Linked DNA regions of Neodiprion lecontei. The protein of the gene in region 1 interacts with the protein of each later gene in a pairwise test. Links are inferred from orthologs where the notes say so. Each region holds a gene or a part of one and is shown on either strand. Other genes may lie near its edges.

Region 1 (7,544 bases):
TTTGGTTATTAAGCGAGGCGGAGTGGAATTTTCAAACGTGTCATTCGGATATACACCTGAAAGAGTTGTTCTACGAAATATAAGCTTTGTAGCTCCACCTGGTAAAACCATAGCATTCGTTGGACCATCTGGAGCAGGAAAATCAACAATTATGCGATTACTGTTCAGATTCTATGATGTAGAACAAGGAGCTGTTATAGTCGATGGACAAAATGTCAAAACTGTTCGACAAGATACATTGAGAAGTGCCATAGGTAACTATTTCAGACAATTCAGACGACATTTGAATTACAAACCTTCATGGAATTGTCGTGACATTACAAATTTCCAAAATTGTACTTATGTTAATACAATTATTGTAATACATTGATTATAAGATTTTCTATCTATTATTCATCATTATAAGATTTTGGGTCTGTAATCTGATTGGCGTATTTTTATATTTAGGTGTTGTGCCGCAGGACACTGTATTGTTCAATAACACTATCAAGTATAACATTCAGTATGGAAAAATTGAAGCACCAGAAGCTGATGTCATTGCAGCAGCTAAGAATGCAGATATTCATGAAAGAATTCTAAGTTTCCCTGACGCATACGAAACAATGGTTTGCTTACTTTAATGCTTGTTAACAACATTACAGAAAATGTCTTTGTATAAAATCTTTGGACTTTTTAACAAAATTTCTGTAGAATGTTTTGCTATCTAAAAAATTTTCCTTAAAATATTCGTTAAAAATCTCAGGCTTTGCTGTAAGACCAATGGGTATTTTTTATTTCGACACAGGTTGGCGAGAGAGGATTGCGATTGAGTGGCGGTGAAAAACAACGTGTTGCAATTGCTCGAACAATTTTAAAATCACCTACGATTGTTCTCCTCGATGAAGCTACCAGTGCTTTGGACACACAGACAGAGCGTACAATTCAAGCAGCATTAAATCGCGTCTGTGCAAATCGTACAACCATTATAATTGCTCATAGATTATCAACTATAATTCATGCAGACGAAATTTTAGTTTTGAAAGATGGGGAAATCATTGAAAGGGGTAAACATAACGAATTAATTTCGTACGGCGCAGTGTATCACAACATGTGGCAAGCGCAACTACAAAACAATCAAAACGGTGAAGTTGCTGTAGAAAATGGTGATATAGATGACGATGATAAAAAGGCATCCTAGATCCAATAGATCAAAATTGATGACATAACTTGTACGCATGTACATGTACTATGTGTATATTTGTACAAGTAGATAATTATGTCATGCCTATGTATACGTATTTATCTTAGAGCTTAATATAGTATACTCAAGAAACACTTTCTGATTTCTCATTTGTAGATTGTATTTTCTGTCACCTTGAGATATACATAAAACATTTGTCTACATATGTTCGTACAATATTTCCCGTTAACGACAAAAGTTTTGTTCGGGTTAAAATTTTGTGTCAAAAAATTATCCACGTGTAGATCTTTTGTTAGAGAACAGACTTTTGTTATTTGGCAGATTGAATAAGAATCGATGACGAAAACGAATACTTATGGCTTCCGGTAGCACAACAAACTACGATTTTTATCTTCCACTTTCCAAAATCTGTTTCTAATGTGCTCTTAAGTTAGTTAAATCCTATTAGAGGAAAGTGATATTTGTTCGTGATATTCATTTCTTAAAAAGCCTTTCAGAACTGATTTGAATTCAAAGTTGAATGGTGATTTTGTGATGAAATATGTTCTACAGATCACTAGATGATCTCCCTTTATTCTTCAGCTTTGATACATACAAGCCTTGGTTTGAATAGATTTTTATGAAGTTGCCAAGCAAACTGACAATATGTAAGCAGCGATTTCACGACAATCTTAATATGATCCAAGTTTGGAATATTTATGTAAGTCATTAAAAAAAACTGACTTCTGTTTTAAATGCATTGTTTTCGGTTTCTTTCGTCACACAGTCGTCTGTACAGTTGATAGATTTTCACTGAACTCTAATACTTATGCATGCATGCACAGCGTAGTTACCGGTCGGATGATCTCTGCAGGGTGCAGTTTTTCACGCGGTCGTCTATTTCCTCAAGTCTAAAAATAGCACTGTGGAAATTATGGGAAAGAACCAGTGACTTCATCATCCCCGCTTGCCTGGAAACCAGCCAATCAGGCTGCGACTTGCTAGTTGCAAAGGTCGGGGTTTTTGGAGACTGAAGACGTTCGACATTTGTATAGCAACCTGTTACGCGTGACGTCACAACTAACTGTCTTCAGTCAACGTCTAGTGTGTAATTGGAAGGTAAAAAAAATATGTTTTGACGTGAGAGTAAACCAGGATTATTTCGTTAATTCTATTAGATTAGTATGCAAGATATAATATCAGATATTAGTAAAATTTAAACACGCAATGTAAAATTAAATTTATTTTCAAACATTTAACCATATAACGAAATCCAGTCTGTCGCGCGAACTTCTAACCTATCTGACTATTTCTAGGGTAATTAACTCGCAAAACACTTTTATTTGATTCTTGTGACACTTTGTTGAGATTCTTCGCAGTTCATCGTCATGTTCGCCTACGTAATCAACGCAACTAACCCAACACAACCATCTTTTATCTTGTTTCACTTGCCATGTTATTGTTTGTAAACAATAGAAACTGGCACCAGATATTGCTCATGGCATTAACAGCACATAAGGCCTCCAAATTCCAATAATTGCCCACTGGCAACTTGTTACAAAGATGGATAGTTTCTCAATCCAAATACAATCCCTCACATTTTAATTCAATGTAATTTTCATCATGATCTAGTGCTTTTGGCTTTGTCATCGACTATCCTGAAATGGCTGTGCAGCATGGACAGACTAATCTTTATATCGATGATTTGCCTTGGCTTGAAAGAGAAGAATTATGCAGAATTCTCAATCAGAACAATGAATGGGAAGAGCTAGCAGGTAACGTTTTTACCCATAAATTTGCTATAAATCAGGACCAAGTCAGGTTTGGCTAATTTTTTATTAACAGTCGGAAGCAGCGTATCAATAAATTTAGACTCGATTTAAGATAGAACCGAACGGCTGAACTTGATACCATGTCGTACTATAAGTTAGAGTGAATAGTGAAAAACAATATTCGTCTTTCTTTAGGCAAATGGATGAAATTTGATGTATCTACTGTTCAATGTTTAAGAAAGAACGAAAATCCGACAGATAAGCTTTTGAAAATGTGGACTACTTTCAATCATACAGTACAGGAACTGTTCCTTTTATTATATAAGATGCAACACCATCAGGCAATGCTACTTCTGAAAAATTTCGTCAATCCCAAGTACAGCAAGCTTATCACCAACCGGAAAAGGCCTTCAGCACAATTATTGAATTGCCATGTAGCTGACGAACATTCAAAAGATCTGAAAATAGGAACTAACAATTTCAATCACATTCAACCAGCTTCAAGCGATGTGCAGAAGCTTTGTATTTATCAAACAATGTACGAAAGAGTGGCAAAAATGTTAGACAAGTTCCCACTGCCGAATGATCTAGATCCAAGCAATTCGGATAATATGCTTGTACCAACTGGTGTAAATCAAAATCTTGCTCCAGTTCCAAGACCTGTAGTGGATGGTTCTAAAAATAATAATCAATTGAAGATATCACTTATTGATACCGACCTACCTCAACCATCTTATGAAGAATTAGCAAAAGCTACGCATAATTGGAGCAAACACAACATACTGGGAAGAGGAGGTTTTGGAACAGTTTTTAAAGGTCAGTGTGTACCGTGTTATGCATACATAATTCAATTCAAAACAGATAATTCTTAGGTGAATGATCTCTGGACAGTTGAAAATTTTACTAGAAAATAAATTCGTATACATAGGATTCAAATCAACTTACAAAAAAGTTTTAAAAATAAATCATGTAACTAATTTGTCAACTGGTACTGACTTTAACACTTCTCAAATCTAGGTATATGGAAAGGCACCCCAGTAGCCATTAAAAAAATAGAACAACGAGGTTCTGATTCGAAGGAAAGCTACTTGATCCAGGTAGAACAGTCTTTAAGAGAATTGAAAATTTTGTACGCCCGGAGACATGACAATATCCTGCCACTGTATGGTCACAGCATAGGCGGAGAAGCCCCATGCCTAGTATATCAACTCATGCCAAATGGATCATTAGAAGATAAACTTTCCTTGAGACAAGGATCCCAACCCCTAAATTGGTTGCAACGACATAATATAGCCACGGGTACAGCTGGAGGCTTACAATACCTGCATACTATTGGCCACAAGCCACTCATCCATGGAGACATAAAAAGTGCCAACATTCTGTTAGATAAAAATTTTGAGCCCAAAATTGGTGATTTTGGATTAGCTAGAGATGGACCTGAACAGGATTACATGAAGGTAAATTTTTAGTTGAATAGATGTGTAATCATAGCGATACAATCGTCGTTAAGCTCAAGTAAAATAGTGAAAAAGGTCTTGGGGTGACATTTTTTTTTTTTGTCAAAACCTGTATTCTTGTACTGCCTATATATATATGTACACCAGAGTGAGTTTGATACTTGTGCTTGGTTCGATCATTTACCTGATGTAAATAGACATTTCGAAATAATAAACTCTACTTTGTAAAAATCCAGCCCACTAAATACATAATTGAACACAGATATGATAAAATAAAGTATTACAAAGAATTGCCCCCATTTGTTCGACTAAGTTTAACCAATTCACTAATATACAATTGTCATTGTTTTACAGGTAAGCCGAGTGCAAGGAACCAGACCATATTTGCCTGACGAATTTTTGCGCGATAGGAATTTGTCAACAAAAGTTGATACTTATAGCTATGGTATTGTATTACTAGAATTAGCTACTGGATTAGGAGCATACAGTAACGCAAGACCAGAACATAAATTCCTAAAAGCTTATGTGGACAGTTTCGAAGAAAAGGACATACGTCTATTAAAAGACAGTACCGCTGGTACAGAAAAAGATAAAGTTTTCGATAATCTAATAGTTTTAGGAAAATGGTGCGCAAACACATTGCCTAAAGATCGGCCGCAAATGGTTGATGTTCACCGCAAGCTTGAAAGATTATAATGTTTCCCAAAGCACGAAAACGAGTCCTGTATTTCATTTACTGACGCTACGAAAGCTGTTGATAACGCAGAATAGGATTTTTTCCTGTATGCTAGAGTTTGAAAGTAATAACCAACAATAACAAACGTGACTGTCGATTTAAAAGTGTCTCTTACTATGAGAACTTTATATAAAGGCAACACATTAGCAAGGCACGTCAAATTTTTTAACCAGAATTCCGACGAGACTGTCAAGATGTAACTAAATATACCAATATGTTTTGGTATCAAGTTGCTAACGTTCCTAGGTTAAGAAGAATAAAATATAAAACTCACGAGAATTCACAGTGAACTTAACTAGATCGACGAGGTAAATTTCAAATAAGCGTATTGTAACACCGATTGTGTATGATTTTGTTTCAAGATGTATGTATTAATTCAACTAAAATAAAAATACTCAGGAAAAACTGCACAGTTTCATGACAAACTAAATTCTGGTACTGATAAATATCTTGATTTTATAAATATAAATGTCATCGATACTTGAAGAACTATGGACAATCATCATGCTGATATCGTTACACAAAAAAAGTTGAAAATACAGGTCTGGACTGGCAAAACGACTAACACTACTATTCTACTTCACTGTAATTACATTTAATTTGAATCTTCACTGCCATATCGAATAGAAGATTTTAAAAATATTTTATAAAAAGCTGAAAAAGAAGTAGCTTGTTACTATTGAAAGTCTGGAAAAAAAGGCCAGTAAAAGTACGTTGAATTTCTGTTAGAATACACAATATTGCCTGTTGTTTTCAGTTGACTTTCTAACAATGTTTTAATATACGAGTTATGTTAATGTGTTTTCATTATATACAGCAAAAAGTAAAGAGGAACAACGTACAAAAATTTCAATCTCAATTATCCACACTGTCACGTATGCACGAATGCTCATCGTAACAGTGTCAACGCAAGTGAATTTTTTATACACCAATCACCGGATAGATGAACATCTTTGGTAATAACAAATATGTAATTTTGATACTAGGAAAGACTCGATTTCATTTTATCCGATAATCCAAACTAGGTAATGGGAACAGTGTTATACATACATTGACACTCAGCTGTTGCCATGACAAGTAGAGGGACCCGTACTTATTTAATCTTGCAGAGCCAGATAGTGGGATCATCCGTGACCTTGTGTCCATTCACAGTGCATATATCTTCAATCAAGTCACATTGACCTATATGAGATCCTGCATAATTATCCGGTGTTGACCATTACTATGAGCGCTATTAGCTGGACAGAACTCCCGTCCAAGGTCACAATACAGTGAACATTTTGAAATACATCGTAAGACCCGCTACAAATAATATATTTTTTACATCCATACAATATTCTTTCTGTTTCTTCTCTTTTCACATCTTATGCGATAATTAATAATTATTATTTATGAATACGTAGTTACACGTGAAATTTGAATAGCTTAAAGCCCACCTATTTTTGATTTGTAAAAACAACCGAACGTGTAAACAGATAATCATTTAGCACTATATTTTGTATTTTCTTCTATTTGTAATTAGTTTATGCTTCTCGTTTTTGTAGAAATCTAAAGTGCAGAGTACGATATGTACTAACAGTAAGCTCAGCCTGCACGTATACATGTAATACATAGGGAAACACATTGAATGAGTTAAACTATTTTACACGCTATATAATAATATATGTATAATAATATACCACAGGAGTAGCCAAATGTCTAATCATCTTTGTTGGTTGTTTAAAATATACAATTGTATGCGCGTAGCCTGCTTTTCTTAGACAAAGTATACGCTGTAAGTATACAACAATTAGATTCGTTTTCAACAAACTAAAATATAACATATCGCATTGCACAATACATCATTAACATTACTAATAATAATAGTAATAATATAATACATATATTATATCATTCGCTTAAGCCTAAGGATTTTGTATAATATATTTATATTTATATAAATCAGTTATCATGTGTGCACAAGCAATTTAGGATATCCACATTCCAATTTTTGTATACATGGATTAGTATCTAAAAGCGTACATTAACGCTATAAAAGATATCGTACTCACAATTATAATTCAATATTTATACACATGAATAGGTGAATTTCTCACAACTTTAGGCAGGGTTAATGCACCAAAAGCAAAGGGCCACATATCTGATAATGTATTGAAACTCAATTGTTACTTGTTACTCGAATAATTACTGTAGATAGTACTGCGCCTCAATATGTTGGTATTTTTATTGATGTTTGAATGACATTAGAACGCAAGAAACTACGTTCATTTCTAACTTTGAATTATAAATCAATCTATCTTTTACTTTGTTTGCGCAATAAAAATGTATTTACCTGTTTTCGGTTCAAAATTAAAAATCACTTATTGCAATTCCAACGGATGCCACAGTTTTTTGTCTTCGTGTTTATTTTTTGTTCCATT
Region 2 (4,604 bases), on another chromosome or scaffold:
CTCGAACACGCTGCATCTCAGCCATAAATCTTCCGACACGACCATTTTCGGCATCCAAAAGTCGTCGCAGCACGACGATCTGGATGTGAAGATGGTCGACCTGCTGGCTAAGCTGGCGAATCGTTTCATGCAGTTGCAAATTCTCCTCACGTCTACGACGCCAGGCGTTTACAACCAAAGCGCGACAGACGAGACCCGCTGCCTTGTTCGTATCCGGTGGAGCCGAGAGTCCGTTGACATCCAAATCTCCCGGCCATGATCCCATCCCTCTTTCACTCCCAGTTTCAGCCCCATCAACGCATGGTACCTCAGAGCTTGTCGAATCAGTTGCAGCTACTTTCCGTTGCAGACGTGACTGCAAAGAAGTGGCACTCCCAGACCTGACCAAAGTAAAAAATCACAATAAATTTATAGCGCCGTTTGAATGTTCAAATTTAGAAAATGATGAACATCGCGCAGAAATAATTTTTTTCAATACAGGCATTGCTGATTTCGATTTCAAGATTATTGCCCGAGTCAAACTTTCAACTTGATCACTTGAACTTCCAAATCTTGTAACGATTATTTTATAAACATTTTGACCAGCTCATTCTTTACCTTAGGTCAAGAACATCCGGATTGATGGACGTGGGTGACAGATCGACCATAGAAAAGCTCTTCTTACAAGAAGACTTTGGGGTATTCGGTATGATGCATGCTGTCTTTGAGTTGTTTGAGCTAAAGACGGCAGTCTTCTTGGTAATGTTGCCTTGTATTGATACCGGGATGTTGCGGTAGGAATTAATGGGGTTTCTAATCGGTCCGGAAACGGGTCCCCGTCGGGGACCTCTTACGTATGAGGGAGGCGGGGGATAATGAATGTTTCTTTGGCCTCTCAACGAGTACCCACCATACCTTTGGCGATTATTCGCCCATGACGATTGACTCAGCATCTTACCAAATTTCAAAGACAGTTAAAATTATATTTGCTAAAACTGTTGCTGATTGTTTATTATTTATTATTTTGCCAAGGGGATGGATAAAAACAACTCACTACTTAACAAATGAAAGATGCGTCCGAAAATATTTTCACACTCTTACTGGTTTCGGCATGATTCCCGCTTTCATATCTCGAACCTACACGTTTCCTTACCTCGCTACTATTTGCGGAATGTCAAATTTTTCGAGCCTGCCATCATTTTCAAACTCTTTAGCCGTTCGCTGGAGTATATAATTAGCTACGATCGCAGAGCGAACTAGATTCGGGATCGTGAAAAAATGTTGGTCTACTTTAAACGTGTGATTGTGGTATATTTTTCCATTTAGATAACAGTTTTCAAGATCATTTTTAAGAATACACATAAAAAAAATTCCGGAAACTGAGTAGCAAACTTGACGGGCAAATACTTTGATACGTATGACACGAAAGATGTATTATTTCATACAAAATAAACGAAAATTGCGTCGAACAGAAATTCGAAAGTTTGAATGAAACGGCGCGAGTCGGCCATGTTTGTCACGAGGCGCGCAGTATATCGTAGCATAAGCTGCGCGAGGTTAGTATGGTCACGTGACACGTTTCAGCCAATGGTGAGAAGTTCGATTCGCTTCCCCGAAAAATGTTGTCATCTTTGCCAAAAATAATTTTCCTTCGCTATTTGTGACGAAGGGGGTTGGTGTCGAGTGCTCGAGCGTGAAAGTTTACCTCCGGATAAAATCGGTACGGTGTTAGTACCCTGAAATAAGGTGGCAATGTGATATCTGAGCAGCGTGCTCTGTCAAGTGGTAATATTTTACACATAAAACCAGTTGTTCCCGGGTAAGGCCTTGACAGGAGTCAGTACGGAACAACTTTCCTCGTCGCGCACCATCTCCGTCGATCTCAGTACCATAACATGGGCCTCGAACAGGCGAGTATCACATTGTCCTACGATAGTTTAATTATAGCTGGGGAGACCTAGGCTCTCCAAAAATAATGATTCGATCAGCGTTGCGCCTCCCAAACTCCCGGAATCGCCCGGAATACAGTAACCAAGTCAGAACCACCTCGACAATCTTTTCACTATTCCAGAACTCCGTTTCTCATCCGTAAAAAATTTATAGACCAAAACTGTTTCTCTTTTTTTTTTTTAACTTAAAGGTTATTTTCGAACAGCTGTTCAATTACTAATTTCTCCCCATTGCAGTGTCATCCTTTACCTCGTTCCATTCCATCTCCAAGTCCTGCGACAACCTCCGCCACGCATTGTCTTAATCTCTCTACCTCGCTCTGTTTTTCCTTCTTGGTTTATCTCTGATGTGTGATAAACCATTCCTCTAGTTCACCTCAAGCTGCCGTACTCTTTCCTCATAGCCACGCTGCCAAGTTAGACACTCTTTCTAGATTTAGGCTAGTAGCATAGATTGGCTCGACTTGATATAAATCATAAAAACTCACTAGTGTAAAATTTTCATTGAAGTAGGACAAAGTAGCGCCATTTCATTCAGTTTTATTTCTCGTAGTAATACTACGTACAACATAGGCATTAGAATTTCTTTCACATAAAATTTGACCGACACAAAAATATAGATTACTAGAAACGGTGCTGTTATTACCAGCATGAAGCGTGGCCTCGGTTCAAACCGGAATCGGTTCAATGAATCGAGAAATATATATTTCCATTATAAATTTCGTAACTCTTATTATATATTTAGACTTCTTTGGTGGTTGGAGGATAAGATCCTCGATTCTGTTTATTATACTTAAACAATAATGGTAATAATCGATTTCCCTGTAAATCAAACTCGATCTGTTCCATCGCTCTTACAGCGTTATTTCCAGAGTTCAGGAAAGCAAATTATGATTACACACCTACATGAGATGTATTTTCTCTCGTTCTCATTCTTGCTTCTTCAATGAAACAACGATGGTGATTGGCATTTAAAATCATTTCGATCTCACAAAAATATAAAAAATACAGAAAAATGGTAATTTCTGCATCAACAGCTGGTAAATTTTGAAACAGTATCTCACATTGCGTTCACGCTTTAACAGTTCAATACTTTCTCCGCACATCGCCCATTTATAATTCAACGTCTTTTTGGCATAAGCGCCTAGACGTCTGGGACATTCAGCACGAGACATATCCGTCACCTCTCGGATATCTTTGTAGAAAGTTTTGATAAATATTTCATTACTGTATCTTTATAAATGTCAAGTCCGTGAAGAATTGTTCTCTCTCTTAACACAGGTGACAAAAGAATTGCAGTGTAAGAAGATAAAAATAGATCGTATGGAAACACTGAATTTTTAAAGTGTTCAGATAAGAAGAATTAATTCTTCGGCATTTTTTAAAACATTGCCTGGGTGGTAAATAAAAATTCGAAAAAAGACAGATATATTTTGCGGAGTGTCTTGTCGAGATGCCACTACTCTACCTTGAGTTTAAACGATACCACTTTGTACACACCATAAACTTAAAGATTTTTTTGTAAAGACGTGGCAAAACATTCAAATCGTTTCACATGCAGCACTACACTTGTAGTATATGCGTACAATTATATGTAATAAGAGTATATAAGAGCGGTAAATAAGGAGTGAGGTTCGACCCCGGCGCTCAGTATTAGCAGCAAGAATAAAGCCTTTGAACTCTAAATATGTCTCTAGCTGTTCTTCCCTCGATACATCACACATTAGGGACTATACATAATTTTCTTTTCAAAATTTTGACCATTCGAAGCAATTTTTGAAGAACCTTTGAGAAATTATTGGTGACAAAAGATTAAAAACAATTTGTCCAATATTTTATATTTTTTTAACACATCTGTATCTCTTGCGACATCTATTGAATGAAAAAATTTTCATCTATCACAATCGATGATAGAGTAATGAATTTATCAATGAAATTATAGAAATATTTGATAGCAAATTACTCGATGATCCTTACATAATTACCTGTGAAACGTGTTTAGTACAAAAATGTAATTTTCTGAGGAATATCGACATACAAAGTTAAAGGAACATCCGTAAAGTGACTGATCTGTCTTGCATGGAATGAACGACACGCATGAAAAATTTTACCTCCTACTTTTATTCCATGCATTTGCTTCCTCCAATCTGTAACCAAACATTTTTTGTTGCTAATGAAGACGCAATTTATTCTTGTTTCAGATGCCAATAAAACTGACTATCAACTAGCTAAAGGTATGGAACAGACCCATGGAGTTTCGGATGGAAATATAAACATAAGTGATGTCAGTGAGTATAGATATGCTGTTTTCTTTGAAGTTAAACCATATAAGAGTAAAAAAATCTGCTTAGCATTGAGAATATAAATTTCAAAGACAGTTGAAAAGTAATAATGAGATTTACATGCCAGGGAATACAATATAGGTTTATTAGGCAAACCGGACTATTCCTTACTACATAGTTTGATATTACAGTGATATTACTACAGCTCAGTCTAGATCTACTCTCAGCTCCGTTGATGCTACACTGGCAAAGTTCAGTCTAAAAGCGAAGCATAATCAACTAGCTATATATTGATTATTTTTCAATAAAGAATAGGCAGCATGAAATACAGCTAGTGATCACAGAGTTGAATTTTACCGAAACATGTCCGAGGTCCATGTCCGCATTAAAATGA

The links. The genes of interacting proteins can lie anywhere in the genome.
Region 2: the proteins of pelle-like serine/threonine-protein kinase pik-1 (region 1) and embryonic polarity protein dorsal interact in a two-hybrid assay, tested with the Drosophila melanogaster proteins (2 studies listed by BioGRID). The link is inferred for Neodiprion lecontei from reciprocal best matches to the Drosophila melanogaster genes pll and dl.

What each region holds. Positions count from the first base shown.
Region 1 is NC_060265.1:9,923,097-9,930,640, forward strand, and holds pelle-like serine/threonine-protein kinase pik-1, read left to right. Parts: upstream 1-1,538; 5' UTR 1,539-2,278; intron 2,279-2,284; exon of another isoform or gene 2,285-2,476; intron 2,477-2,791; 5' UTR 2,792-2,822; coding exon 2,823-2,934; intron 2,935-3,126; coding exon 3,127-3,747; intron 3,748-3,948; coding exon 3,949-4,388; intron 4,389-4,742; coding exon 4,743-5,084; 3' UTR 5,085-7,433; downstream 7,434-7,544. Other genes in the region: ATP-binding cassette sub-family B member 6, read left to right, coding at 1-254, 448-605, 785-1,177. UniProt on the Drosophila melanogaster protein: Plays an essential role in the Tl receptor signaling pathway that establishes embryonic dorsoventral polarity; the signal directs import of dl into ventral and ventrolateral nuclei, thereby establishing dorsoventral polarity.
Region 2 is NC_060262.1:41,744,446-41,749,049, forward strand, and holds the start of embryonic polarity protein dorsal, read left to right. Parts: upstream 1-1,564; 5' UTR 1,565-1,889; intron 1,890-4,129; 5' UTR 4,130-4,164; coding exon 4,165-4,216; intron 4,217-4,604. Other genes in the region: uncharacterized protein LOC107224268, read right to left, coding at 1-380, 598-932. UniProt on the Drosophila melanogaster protein: Embryonic developmental transcription factor. The lateral or ventral identity of a cell depends upon the concentration of this protein in its nucleus during the blastoderm stage.